Linked DNA regions of Kluyveromyces lactis. The main gene of each other region encodes a partner of the protein of the gene in region 2 in a complex. Links are inferred from orthologs where the notes say so. Each region holds a gene or a part of one and is shown on either strand. Other genes may lie near its edges.

Region 1 (5,297 bases), on a different chromosome or scaffold from region 2:
TAAACATTCGTTTCTTCTTCTGCATTTTTCATGTTGATAAAGTTTGAAAGTCACGTGGGTTTTATGTCACTGGATAATCGCTTCCTGTTTCGCGATTAACACAACGATTCGAATTATATCAATCCCGAGAGCGTGACACCATATTAACGTGCCAAAATTGATACTAGTAAGTATGTCCAAGCGCCTGATTGTACTTCTTCTCTTCTTGTTTTTTTTTTGGTTTATCAACATGTATTTATATCTAAATCTTTGAAACTTTGAAATGTAGAGAGCATTTAATTCACAGAGCCAAATGAAAATAATGGTTCTGTCGAGGTTGAAAAGAAAATACATAACTCTGGGTCACTATCAATTGACCGATTAATAACTATAACAGGGGGTTCAGATCAGTTCTTAGAAGATTGATTTTGAAAGATGTCCTACGCTACCAAGTTGGAATTACCATGGGTTGAAAAATACAGACCGCATTTATTGAAAGATATTGTAGGGAATGAGGATACGGTGCAACGGCTACAAACCATCGCTGCTGATGGTAATATGCCTCACATGATTATCAGTGGCCTACCAGGTATTGGTAAAACAACTTCGATACACTGTTTGGCACATGAGCTATTAGGTGATGCGTATTCACAGGCTGTATTGGAGTTGAATGCGTCTGATGACAGAGGTATCGAAGTCGTCAGAAATCAGATAAAGCATTTTGCCCAAAAGAAGTGCACGCTACCAGCAGGTAAGCATAAGATTATCATTTTGGATGAGGCAGATTCAATGACCAGTGGTGCTCAGCAGGCTTTGAGAAGAACAATGGAGTTATACTCTAATACGACGAGATTTGCTTTTGCATGTAACCAATCTAATAAGATAATTGAACCTTTACAATCTCGTTGTGCAATACTACGTTACTCGAAACTAACTGATGAACAGGTTCTCAAAAGATTATTGGAAATTATAAAGCTGGAAGATGTTCAATACACGAATGATGGTCTCGAAGCTATTATCTTCACTGCCGAAGGTGACATGAGACAGGCAATAAACAATTTACAAAGTACAGTTGCTGGTTTCGGTTTAGTAAATGGGGAGAACGTTTTCCAAATTGTTGATTCCCCGCATCCACTAATAGTCAAGAGAATGCTATTATCTGGATCTCTCGATGAATCGCTGCAATATTTAAAAGAACTTTGGGTTAAAGGCTACTCTGCGGTAGATATAGTGATAACTTGTTTCAGAGTAATGAAAAATCTCGATGAAGTTAAGGAAACGGTTAGATTGGAGATGATCAAGGAAATCGGCTTTACACATATGAGAATTCTTGAAGGTGTCGGGACTCATCTTCAACTATCAGGTATGTTAGCTAAAATTCAAAAGCTTAAATCGTAAATAGACTATTACCACATAATTAACATCCAAAAAGTAATCATAATGATTGTAAATATTTAAATGACCCAAAGTTTTCAAGCTTGGGGACCTATAGAAAGCATATAATTAAACTACTCCCCCGTTCGCTCACCGTCAGCATTTCGTTTTCCTGATGTGTGTGTGTATTACAACTTTCAGAAAAAATACGAAAAGCCTGAAATATATCAAAAAGAACATCGACTACACCGCAAAGAATACAGTTGGAAAAGAAAGATACTTCAAATTGTATTACACTCTGTTCGTGACAGAAAACCATATATTGAAATTATAATGGATGTTTTAAGCGATCTGTTAGAATTAGATGCAACTGAACTTCAACTGCCAGAGGATTCTCCATCAGGTAAAGATGATAACATTGATACTTACCGAGCCTACGTTGACTCGACCCTAAAAAAAGAATATCAATTACATACTGAATTCCTCAAGGAATTTGATGATCTCATGGAAAAGAACCAATCAATACGTACCTCTACTGAGACACTTATACCGAGTTTGAAAAATTACTTTGCCGAATTTAACAACAAGTTGAACGATTTGACTAAAGATCTCGATTTCGTTAAGGGTAAATTTTCTGAGTTTTCATCGTTACTGAAGAGTAACTCTTCGAAGTTGAAAGACATAAGTCCCATCGTTAATGATTTGATAATCTCTCCTGAAATAATATATCAAGTGTTAAGAGGCAAGATTGATCAAAAATGGATTGATTGTATTGATTATTTGAACGATAAACAAGAGATATTCCTGAAGTATCAAGAAGAAAATAAATCAGAGAGACCAAATGATTTCGAACAGTTGAATGAAATCTTACAAATACTAAAGGCAGTTTCTGCAGAAAGAGCTAAAAAATATATTGTGATAAGAATTAAGAGACTGAGGGACGGACATCCTGTGCCAGCGCAAAGAATTCAAGAGGAACTACTTCAGGTCAGAGAAATCTATCAAATGATCTACAATACCAAGTCGGACATAGCTACAGAATTACGAGAAGCATATATTAATACGATGAAATGGTATTATAAGACATATTTTGCAAGATATATTAGATCTTTGACAATTTTACAGTACGTCCAGATAGATTCTCAATACGCATTAGGACAAGGTCTTTCAAATACATCGGTTTCAGGATCTTATTCTAATTATCTTTATGCCAGTGGAAGAACGCTCTTTGGCGCACAAACTGCTTCCCACTTTAATGTCACTGATGACAGCATTAACGACTATTTCCAAATATCAAAACGGTTGGATCTTATCACGCAAGAAGATAGGACAGTTATGGTATCGCAAATTGCAGAGAATAATCCAATTGCCAATTACATCGAAGTTGGATTTAAAAATTTAAACTTGGCATTATTAGATAATTGCACTGCAGAATTTATGTTTTTGAATGAATTCTTCAGATTACCAACTGATAAAGGTGATCTAATACGAACCATTCTTCTGGATATCTTCCAGCCAACTTTTGATAATGCTATGGACTTCACGCATCAATTAATTGATACATCATTCGATATATTTGGTGTCTTAATCAGCATTAGAGTTGCACATAGACTACAATTCGAAGCGCAACATCGTCAAATCCCGTGCATTGATGATTATCTTGATGGTCAGTTGATTCTTCTATGGCCAAAATTTCAGAAACTTGTGGATTTCCAGTGTGAACAATTAAGATCTGTTTCAATAACAACCAACGTTGCCCGTGTTAGAGGTGCTGGAACCGCTTCAGACCCGTTAGTAACGCCTCACGAACTCACGGTACAGTTTTCCAAATTTCTTCTCAGTTTATTGAAACTATCGTTAACCCACAAGGAACTTTTAGATGAAAGGGCAGAACCGTTGTTCCACTCGATAAATAGAATTCGTGATGATTTCGAAACAATAATGACAAAATGCAGCAAAAAGACTAAAAACGCTGATAATTTCCTAACCACAAATTATATGTATATCTACAACGCCCTTCAACAATCGTTCCTCAGAACAGATTCTGAAAAGGAACCACTCATCCTCTCACAAACGAAAACTCATCTTTCACAGCTACTAGAAGCATATAGTAAGTAAATATATATATATATATGTATACGAACAACCATTACAGTATCTCGTTACGAATAACACATTCAATCTTCGATTTATTTAGTTGTGCCGTTTCTCGTTTATTTTAAAAACGTCAATAAACATAAACAGTTTCTACTTTATTTTCGGTTCCATATATATGCTAATTTGAGATGACCGAAACAGAATAGCTATATGAACGTCGAGTGACGAGGAAATCCATTGGGCTGATCCACTCAACATAGAGTGTAGTCTGTGGTCAATCGTATGATGAAAAGGCCAACTGATTCGCAGAATGAAATTATCCAATTCCCTTATATACCTGCTAGCACTCTGAAAGTTATTGCAGGACCCGGTTCAGGTAAGACATATACATTGCTATGCAAAGTTCGAGAGTTGATCCAAACGGGGCAGGTGAAACCCCGTGAAATTATTATTCTATCTTTGACTAATAAAGCAGTTGATAATATTACAGATAATCTTCTAGGCGTCTTTCAGGAATTAAGCGATAAACCGTACACTGACCATGAAGTTGATGACATTGTTTCCCAAATTGGTATTTACACGATCCATGGCCTCTCGAACAGGATAGTTACTGAAAATATGGGTATTGTGAACATAATCGAGGAAAACGGTTGGAGAGGTCTAGTCAAGCTCATTCCAAAAGATTTTTGGAATAAGAGAAATGTTAATACTGCTAATGACCGGATCATTACGAAGAAGCTTCAGAAACTTATAAATGAATACCAAATTGACACAGATAATATTGATGAGACCATTGAAAAAGTAACAAAGTTAATGAAGCATTCAAATGTTTTGACTAACGATGATTTAATCAAAATGGCTGTGGAATTCTTAAAAGAGCCGAATTCAGAAGAGGATACTGCATTCACCAAATTTGTACTAAATGAAGCCAAAGTTTTAATTATTGACGAATTCCAAGACTTATATCCAGGTATATTTAAACTATTAAAGACATTACTTGGTCAAAAACACTTTTTAATATTTGGAGATATCAATCAAAGCATTTATGAGTTTTTGGGAAGTAACAAAGAAGTCATGTCTGAATTGGACAGGTTAAGACCTGATGATAAAAAATTCACTAAGTACATCCATGACAATTTCCGTAGTACACCAGAAATAACTGCTGCAGCCAATGCTGTTATAAACCAAACCGTTCCTGTTCAGATTAAAAGAGAAAATATAGTAGAAAAACATCCTTCCGGAGTTTACCCCATCAAATACAATTGCGAAGAATTAATAGATGAATTGGACTTCATTGTGAGTGAAATATGTCAGCTAGTTTGTTCTTCTGCAAAACTATCTGACATTGGCATTTTAGCAAGGACCAATTCTCATTCAAAGGCGATTGCTGACCACCTTTCAACATTCGGAATTCCCGTTTCAAAATTAACAACGCAGCCAGATTGGATGTCAGATCAGCGGATAAGATTCATGATTGATTTACTTCAAGTCGCTGTTTCGGTCATAGAAGAAGCTACACTGCCTAAAGACGCGTCTTTCACCATGAAAACTAAAAGTAATTTCAGTGTTATTGTTACTTTAGCAGCTTTAAAAGGATTTGGTAGTAACACCCTTCAGAAATTACATGAAAATGCCACAGCCACAGGTGCATCAATCTGGCATTTTCTAACAAATACACCTGTTTCAAAGTGGGGGTTTACTCCGGCAGTTACAAAAAAACTCGAAAACTACTTGCTAGCAGTATCAACATTAATCAACGATCCTCCTATTTTGGAAGTTGAACAGCCGCACATCTTAATAGATAACTGCTCATCTGTGATTTCAAAGTTAGATCTACCGTTATTCAT
Region 2 (9,647 bases):
ATCACAAGTAGTGTCTTTAGACACCAAATATTATCCTTTCCAGAGAAACTAATATCATCATCGTTTATAAGTTCAATGATCTCGGTTAGTTCTTTTAGCATACTGCTATACTTTTCTGACGTCATATGCTCTTTTAGTGCACTCTCTTTAATAAACCAGATCAGATACGTCCAGACAGATTGATCTTCAGCATCAGTGAACATGGCATTCTTTATGTACTGAAATTCATCGTCGATGAAGGACTCTTTGTCAGCTATTTGATCTCTCGCCAGCATATGTTCAATTATATTCGTTCGTTGGAACCACGCGCTAAAGTTAGAGATATTTTGATTTATTTTCGCGGTTGTGTATTCAAACTCTTGTGAATTTAGACAGTTTCCGCTTAAGCGTTCTACTGTGCTTACGATGTATCTTCTGTAATGCCATCCATGGAAATTTCTCGCATCCATTTCCAGTAATTTGCCAACAATGGCTAATTCTTTCAACCAGATTTTCAAGGGAGAATTAGGATAATGCTCTAAACACCAAACCCTGTGATTCCATATCCAGTATACTTTTGGACGAACCTTCAATTTGTCCATAGTGAAAGCAAGTTCCCCATCCCAGAAAGTTTGATCCAGTGATGGGGCAAGTAGTTTTATAATTTCACGTCTATAATTCCAGATGGTGTTGAATTCTGGATTGATATTAAGTAACTGGGTAGTCTTCAGAAGAGAGTCCTTGTTTGCTACTCTTTTATTCTTCAATTCTAAAACCTCATCTGATAATTCTCGATAATCGAGGATTTCCTGTCTCTCCTTCTCGCGCTTCTTCCTTAATAACTCCTTTGTCCACTCTCTTCGTGTAACACCATGCTGAATTCATTTCAATTTGTAAATGTTAGTAATCTGCAATTGTATATTATGAGAATCTTCTTTGAAAAGAGTGCCGAGGTCTGCCATACCATTATTTGTCCTCGAGTCTCTGTGGAATTGAGTTTAACGTTCTGATTTGCTGTTCATCATAATCATAACTTATAAGTTTGAATGTTAATTATAAAAAATAGTAGTTTAAAATGAGCTCAATAACATATGTTTTTTGAACTTGCTTCGACGAACAAGGATTCAGAAGAGACTGGAAAGTAAAATTGGAAACATGGATTTGATATCATTAAAAGGTTCGACACGAATTGTTACTGAGTTCTTTGAATATAGTATAAATTCAATATTATATCAACGAGCAGTATACCCGGCAGAAGACTTCGCTACAGTTAAGAAGTATGATTTGAGCTTATTAAAAACACAAGATACAGAACTTAAACAATACATACGGGAAATTCTCCGGCAGGTTCATAGGTGGTTATTGGGAGGTAAATGTCACCAGCTTGTTCTGTGTATAGTAGATAAGGATGATGGTGAAACAATTGAAAGATGGAAGTTTAACGTAGATTCTCACAGCAACAAGAACGATACTGATGATGATATGAACATTCCATTAGAGGAAACCCAAAAGGAGATTCGGGCAGTACTTAGACAGATAACAGCCAGTGTCACTTTCTTGCCCGAATTGAAAAATGAAGGTAACTATACTTTCAATGTTTTGGCCTATACTGATAGTAATGCGAATGTTCCACTAGAATGGACAGATTCTGATTCAAAAGAAATAGCGAAGGGGGAATCTGTGCAATTCAAGTCTTTCGGTACATCGGCCTATTCAGTGGGAGCTGAAGTCACTTATAAGTTCTAACAAAATTAATGGCTGAACTTATTGCATTTCCTTTTAATACTTATGCTACAAATAGGAACAAGATATAGTAGAAAAGGCACATAATACTTAATTCAACTCGAGAAAGCTCATACTAATTCAATCATCTTGGTGTCTTTTCCAAACTTCTATCCAAATCTTGAGATGTTCAATTAGCTTTTGTCTTAAGAGTCCTTCGCATTCTTCCTGCATAAATGGGAAAAGGTTGGACAATAAGCACGTTTTGAACAACTTTAATTTTGACACGGCTGCCATATCAACCCTCAACTCTTCTTTAACTCTAAGAAGAGCAGTAAAATCGAGTTTAATGTTGTCTGACTCTGCTGCTATTTGGATTATATCCTGAATTATTGCTATTTCATTTGCTAGATTTACGGTGTATCCATTATCCAATTTGACTGAGAGATATGTCAGCCTATCATAAAGCGGTTCGGCCACAAACTCAGGTATATCAAGTTCTTTTACTATTTGAAACTCTTTGCGCTCTTCAGCTAATTCATCAAAAATATCGTAAACTTGTTTTGGGTCAAACGTATCATTCAAATCGGTTCTGATCAATTCCACAGGAAACATCAGAGCAAAATGTGATTCACCAACAACATCTATAAACATATCAATTTCCTTAAACTCAGCATCTGTAAGCGTGCTTTCAGCTATAGTGAAAAAAATCATTATGTAGAAGAATGGAATCATTGCATGAGGATACCAGGTCTGATTTCAAAATAAAGTCGATAGCCGAACCAACTTGTGCGGCACATTTTGTCATATAATCAGATATATTGTAAGTGCTCAGGTTAACTGATATATCTTAATATTCATAAGTAAATAATATCTTCGAGTTTTCTGTGTCATTTTGACTTGACGCATTGACATGCCTCGAAAATGTTAAAAAAAGCCTATTTAAACTGATAAATCTGCTACAGAGGTAAAGGTAGTATTACAAGTAGTGTTGCTGTTTCGTTGGTCAAACTGCGTGTGGAAGCTTCTCTACAGAAGCAGTTAGCCCTTCTTGAAAAAAAAACTGGAGTTTGACATAAGGTTTTTTATCTCATTCAATTTATGTCCAGGAATCTTAGGGGATGGAGACCCAGTGGGTGGACTAGGGGAGGACTGTATAGCTACGGATAAATCAGGACGTGGAACAGGTTTAATCTTGAGGTCTTCCTCCAAAAATGTTTTCCATGATGGATCTGATACCCTCGATAGATTGTAAATAAAGTTTTGTAGTTCTCTAGGGTTGAAAATAAGGTCATCTGGTTTCATCGGTTGAGTATCATCATCTGATTGTTGAAATTCTGACCATACTCTTTTCCAAAGTGCCAAATCCCAAGGTACACCTTTTAGCGCTAGTATAAATGCCCAGAAATTTGAGTTTGTATTCTGACTTGCGGTTATTGCATAATAGGTTTCCAAGTATGTTGTATCAGGGTCAATAGGAGAGACAAGTAACTTTAAAAGATGCATTAGTTTTTCCACATTACTATCTATGTGTTTCGTGACTCTTTTAGCTGATGTGTCATGTTGCGGTAAACTTTCCGGAAGTGAATGCAACGTTGTCTTCAATAGTTGAACGTCTAACAATAATTGTTCTGCGATATTTATCACTTGCTTCACATCGAACTGTCTTTTCGAATTAAGAGTGCCATATGGTAAAGCTGGTTTCAAGAGCTTTATAATTTGAGATTCAAAAGAGATAGCTATTAAATCAATAGTTTTATCAATAAAATTCCAACCATAAAGATCTCTATTGAATTGAGAAACAGTGGAGTAAAATGTTGAATTTTCCGATCTTGTTGGTAGGAGGATACTCTGTAAGGTAGTCACATATCTGCTGTAATCTTCCACCATTGTATTAGCCCAATTTGTGTTTGTGAACTCCCTCCATACAAATTCCAAATCTTTCTTCAGGATGCGATTTAGTAGTAAATTGATACCACCCGATACGAGATCCATGTATTTTTGCCTTGTAGGTTCAAAAATGGCTGCAACTTTGTTGATATTTGGCTCATCATTCTCAAGATATTCACAGAGTTTATCTTGCAATTGATCAATTGTATTTGCGCAATAGTCTGCTGTATTGACAAGAAGAACGGTATATTTCACTACTTCATTCTTATCATCGATTTGTGTATCCTCAGGTAACAACAATGGTTTCAAAATCTTTTCATAATATTCATTCAACCATTTGACGAAGAAAACCGCCAATTCCACCATTATGGTCGATTTATTACCGCCTTCTATCAAGCTGAAAGTTTGAGAAAGAATGTGTCTATAAGTTCTAAACAAGTCTGCACTGGATGGAACGACAAGCGATTCATTTTTAGCTGGGAGCTTGGTCTCATTAAGATATGTCAACATCTTGGCGTTCAAAGATGAATCTTGGTGTCTAACCCATAATTTCAAATATGGCTCAAAGCAAGTGGATATTTTACCCTCGTATATATGGGAAAACTTCACTGATATGTATTTTTCAAACTCTAAGGTAGTTTGTAACGATTGCATGAATAGGTCAATGGAGGTGGTACCGGACAAATCTCTCTTCAATAATGTTTTCAAATCGTTAGACGTCATTGTGAAGAAAGAATCCGTTAGTTTCAAAGGTATCTCCCATTCTGATGGGAAATATTCGCTGAAAGTAGACTGGAAATTATTTAATACTTTTTTGAAGAAGATGTAACGTCTAGACAAATTCTCCAAAGAACCAGCTTCATCATCAATTTGGAAGATTTCTTTAATTTCATACAATAGAGAATCCAAACACAATTGCACAATCCTTTCTTTATAATGCTTATTAGTGTCCGCAAGGCAACATATACCGTCTTTCATCGTTTTGCTGTCATATTTACTGTTAGACCCATCCCTAAGCACTTCTTTCGTTACTCTCTCACACACCAATAGTGTATCACTCTCTAAACGATGAATTTGATTTAGAAACTTACAAAACTCATCCAAAGATTTATATTCGTGGAAAGATACAGATAAGGAATGCATAACTTTAAAGGGGCCGCACATTTCAATGTATTTTTCAGCTTGCATGTACTTTTTAGAGTTCACGTATGCATCACTCAAGATCTTCAAATTTTCAAAGCACGTCATCGATCTCGTTATATTCCTCTTAGCGTTATCCAAATCTGAAATATCATGTGTCAAGTCGGATATGGTTGCTTCAGTAATCTGTGACAGAGACTTCGTTGAATTTATCTTCTCAAACAACTTGTGGAAATCATAATTGTCTTCTAAACTATTGACTTCTGAACTGGTGTTATTGCTTTCTCGTACCCGCTCCTCTAAATTAAATTTACATTTTTCGGTTAATAGCACTAGGTTATCAATATCTGATAAAGATTCCTGCTTCGAGAATATCTGTTGAAGATCGTGTAAGGGATCGTATTCCAAAGATTCTGAAATCATTACTTGTTAAGTTCTAGTTATTCAATTCAAATTAATGTGCGTGATACTAATACAGGAAACAATAATGGGGAGGAGCTGGATAGAGAAGGGAGAATTATACCTCTGCAACTTACAATTGCTGGCTCTTTTTGTCATTTACTGATGATACAACAAAGGTTCTTGTTATATTTGTTTCTGTATGCAATAATTACTATGAAAGTCTGATATCAGAAATATCGAAAAAAAATACAAAGTCTTTAAAAGGTGAATTGACAGTTCCAAACCCTTTAACTATGAAAAAAATAATGCTCCAGGGGAGGTTCGAACTCTCGACCTTCAGATTATGAGACTGACGCTCTTCCGACTGAGCTACTGAAGCAATTCCTTTGAGTAGCTTCATTGACACTGTACATATACCAGAACGATGTAATCTTCGCACTGCATAATATATTATTGCTCAACGAGTTACAGTGTGTAGCCAACGATGCTGCTCTTACAAACATATGTTTTGCATATGGCAGAACAACAGAGTAAGTGCCTTCCTGAGCTATATATTGAAATGGTTTGATTTGCCAGGATCAGCGAAGTTTTAAGATACATAACTCTATTCTGCTATGATTATTCCTAGGATGTTGACGTGGATGCATCCATCACCCAGCTACATACCTATTCTTTAGAGTAAGATGATAGTACTTTCAGATCTCCAGAAACACACATGTACACATGCCTTATTCAGACACTTTGTCCCTAGTAACTATTGGCTAAAGCATTCCCATATTTTCTGCATATCTCTCAATACTGAAAAAAAAAAATGCTAAAGTATCTTTTAACAACATAGTTGAAATATAGAAAACAGTGCGTGAACAAAGGTGGCGAAGACGAAACTTGTACGTGGAAAAGCTATACCTTGGAAGGAAAGCAGATAATTCACAAATCCTTGAAAAGCAGCATGTCTTTGAAACTTCCTCAAAATCCTAATGCGGGATTGTTCAAGCAAGGGTACAATTCGTACTCTAATGCTGATGGTCAAATCAATAAATCGATCGCTGCCATTAGAGAGATTCACCAGATGTGTTTAACTTCTATGGGGCCATGCGGCAGAAACAAGATCATCATTAATCATTTGGGAAAGCACATTGTGACCAACGATGCTGCTACCATGCTAAGGGAATTAGAGATTGTCCATCCTGCTGTTAAAGTGTTGGTGATGGCATCTGAACAACAAAAAATTGATATGGGTGATGGTACTAACCTTGTTATGGTGTTGGCTGGTGAGCTTTTGAATGTTAGTGAAAAGCTTATTGCGCTAGGTCTTTCACCTGTAGAAATTATTCAAGGTTACACAATGGCAAAGAATTTTACTTTGGCAGAACTTGACAAGATGTCTGTGTTGGATATCAAGAACAAACATGAAAAAAGTGAGTTAATCAAGGTCATCAAGCCAGTCATTGCATCCAAGCAATATGGTTCTGAAGATATTTTAAGTTCCTTAGTATCAGACGCTGTGGCACATGTCTTGCTACCAAATTCCAACTATTTCAATGTCGACTCAATTAGAGTGGTAAAGATTATGGGTGGTTCCCTTACCAACTCATCTGTTATCAAGGGTTTAGTCTTCAACCGCGAACCAGAAGGACATTTGAAGTCCTTGCCTCAAGGTGAAAAGCATAAGGTTGCTGTGTTTACATGTCCAATTGATATCTCAAACACCGAAACCAAGGGTACTGTGCTTTTACATAATGCTCAGGAGATGTTAGATTTCACTAAAGGTGAAGAACAACAACTGGACCAAATGATGAAAGAAATTGCCGAGACTGGTGTTAGATGTGTTGTTGCTGGTGCCGGTGTTGGTGAGCTTGCTTTACATTATTTGAACAGATACAATATTCTCGTCCTAAAGGTGCCAAGTAAATTCGAACTTAGAAGAATTTGCCGTGTGTGTGGTGCTACACCAATGCCAAGGCTAGGTGCCCCAACTCCAGAAGAAATTGGTATTGTTGAGACCGTAAAGACGAAAGAAATTGGTGGTGATAGAGTTACCATTTTCAAACAAGAGGAGAACGAAAACACTAGGACTGCCACAATCATCTTAAGAGGTGCTACGCAAAATAACTTGGACGATATCGAACGTGCCATTGATGACGGTGTCAATGCAATTAAGGGTTTAATGAAACAGGATGGTGGAAAACTTGTTCCAGGTGCCGGTGCTACTGAAATAGAGTTGGTATCAAGAATCAGCAACTATGGTGAAAAGACGCCAGGTCTAATGCAACTTGCCATCAAACAGTTTGCCGTTGCATTCGAAGTGGTACCAAGAACGTTGGCAGAAACTGCAGGTCTAAACGTTAATGAAGTACTACCAAACTTATATGCTGCCCACTCTCAAAAAACTGCGTCAAACGAAATCAACGATGGTTTGTACCAAGGTATTGATATAGACAACAATACCCCGGAATGCATCAAAGATATCAGAGATGAAGGCATTTATGATTTACTAGCTGCTAAGAAGTTCGCTATCGATGTCGCCACAGAGGCTGCGAAGACAGTACTTTCAGTTGACCAGATCATCATGGCCAAGAGAGCTGGTGGTCCAGCCGTACCAAAGGGTCCAAAACCAGGTAACTGGGACCAAGATGATTGATTCGAACATCTGTCCTCTTGGAAGCGCATAATTGTTCTCTCTTCTGTACACTAATTCCCCTACCACAAATAAAAAATTCAGATATAATTTTAATACTCACAGCTATACCTGTAACTGTCTTGAAAACGGTATCAATACCGCATATCATTATATATTTCATTCTTATGGTTGCTCTTAGACATCCTCTAAATCACGTGATATTAATTATATATCTTACCATCCTTTCCATATATGTGTCAATGTAAAATTAAATTATTTTTCACACAGTTCTGATTCCATTTTTCCAAAATTACTGTTCCTTTTCACAGAAATATCGATGACAACTTTTAAGGACAAAAACCAAAACTTTTCAACGATTTGAAGCTACGTTAGCGATTAGCGAAAGAAAAATATACGATGCGGGTCTGGACCCGAGAAAGAATAGGAGAACCAGAAATTAACAAGTATATCGATTGAGGAACAAAGTGCTTATCCGGGCGTATTGCTTAGATATAAGACAAAGCTAAAAGAGTCGGTACTGATTTTTTTGACCTGATCCTTAATTTTTTTTATTATAATAATAATAATAATAATAGTCGATTATTACAGTTGGGACTCAACTGAATATAAATCGTATTCCTTCTGTGGGTAGTCAGTATCTATCCCGTTATTAGATCAGTACTTTCAATAAGCTGATTTGATTTGGCAATTCATCAAGTTATGGTGGAAGAAATTGATCTGCCGCCAGATATTCGTTGGCAACTAATGGATGAAAGTAAAATGCACAAACCTGCTAATCCCAGACGAAAAAGCAGTATTTTTGGCTCGATGCATCGAGAAGAGTTCCCCATGTCCAATACTTCGTCAACAGACTCTCTAGATTTGTTGTTGGAGAAACAAAGGCAACGACAGTTGAATCATCCTTTGCATCAAAATCATATCAGAACAGTATTGGGCTCACATCTGAATAGTGGGCAACGAATAACGTATGGTCCAGTGAAAGAGACAAACACTGTTTCACTAGAGTATGATCCAATATCTAAACGAAAAGTTCTAAACACTTATGAAATCATTGAAGAATTAGGCCATGGGCAACATGGGAAAGTGAAATTAGCTCGAGATTTGGTTACAAAACAACTAGTTGCTATAAAAATTGTCAACAGACATAAAAAGCGTACTTTCAATGATAAATTCTCTAATAGATTCAAAACTCCTCAATCTGGCATTGAGGATGAAAAGATCAAGCGAGAAATTGCGATAATGAAAAAGTGTCACCACGAGCATGTGGTGAAACTAATTGAAGTTCTTGACGATGCTAAGTCAAGAAAGATTTACTTGGTGTTGGAATACTGTTCTAAAGGAGAAATAAAATGGTGTCCTGGTGATGTCATAGAAACTAAGGCAAGAGGTCCACCATTACTAAGCTTTCAACGTACTAGGGAAATTTTTAGAGGTGTGTTATTAGGATTGGAGTATCTCCACTTCCAAGGAATTATTCATAGAGACATTAAACCTGCAAACTTGCTACTTTCAGAAGATGGAATAGTAAAGATATCCGATTTTGGAGTTTCGTTGGCGTTTTCTTCAGATAGCAGCACAGACTCTTTAAATGAATTAGAGCTTGCTAAGACCGCAGGAACACCGGCATTTTTTGCCCCGGAAATTTGCCTTGTTGAAGACACCATCAAAAAGTTCGATCTCGATCCAAATTCTAAAGAACCAATAATTTCTTTCCCAACTGACATTTGGGCTATGGGAATCACTTTGCACTGTTTATTATTTGGAATGCTACCATTTATTTCTGACTACGAATTAGAGCTTTTCGACAAAATAGTCAACGAGCCACTAGTTTTCGAACCATATCAGAAAATAGAGCAATGTCAAGTTTCTCAGG

The links. Proteins that work in one complex are often made in the same cells at the same time.
Region 1: VPS53 (region 2) and VPS52 share a complex: the UniProt entries of both Saccharomyces cerevisiae proteins name them as parts of the golgi-associated retrograde protein (GARP) complex. The link is inferred for Kluyveromyces lactis from reciprocal best matches to the Saccharomyces cerevisiae genes VPS53 and VPS52.

Annotation. Positions count from the first base shown.
Region 1 is NC_006039.1:335,725-341,021, reverse strand, and holds VPS52 (Vps52p), read left to right. Parts: upstream 1-1,686; coding exon 1,687-3,471; downstream 3,472-5,297. Other genes in the region: RFC4 (replication factor C subunit 4), read left to right, coding at 415-1,377; HMI1 (ATP-dependent 3'-5' DNA helicase), read left to right, coding at 3,733-5,297. UniProt on the Saccharomyces cerevisiae protein: Involved in retrograde transport from early and late endosomes to late Golgi by linking the vesicle through the t-SNARE TGL1 to the Golgi, leading to the membrane fusion between late Golgi and endosomal vesicles.
Region 2 is NC_006040.1:790,532-800,178, reverse strand, and holds VPS53 (Vps53p), read right to left. Parts: upstream 5,155-9,647; coding exon 2,743-5,154; downstream 1-2,742. Other genes in the region: Rab geranylgeranyltransferase BET4, read right to left, coding at 1-854, 944-946; spindle checkpoint protein MAD2, read left to right, coding at 1,135-1,725; KLLA0_D09416g (uncharacterized protein), read right to left, coding at 1,843-2,436; chaperonin-containing T-complex subunit CCT8, read left to right, coding at 6,083-7,774; KLLA0_D09328g (serine/threonine-protein kinase), read left to right, coding at 8,474-9,647. UniProt on the Saccharomyces cerevisiae protein: Involved in retrograde transport from early and late endosomes to late Golgi by linking the vesicle through the t-SNARE TGL1 to the Golgi, leading to the membrane fusion between late Golgi and endosomal vesicles.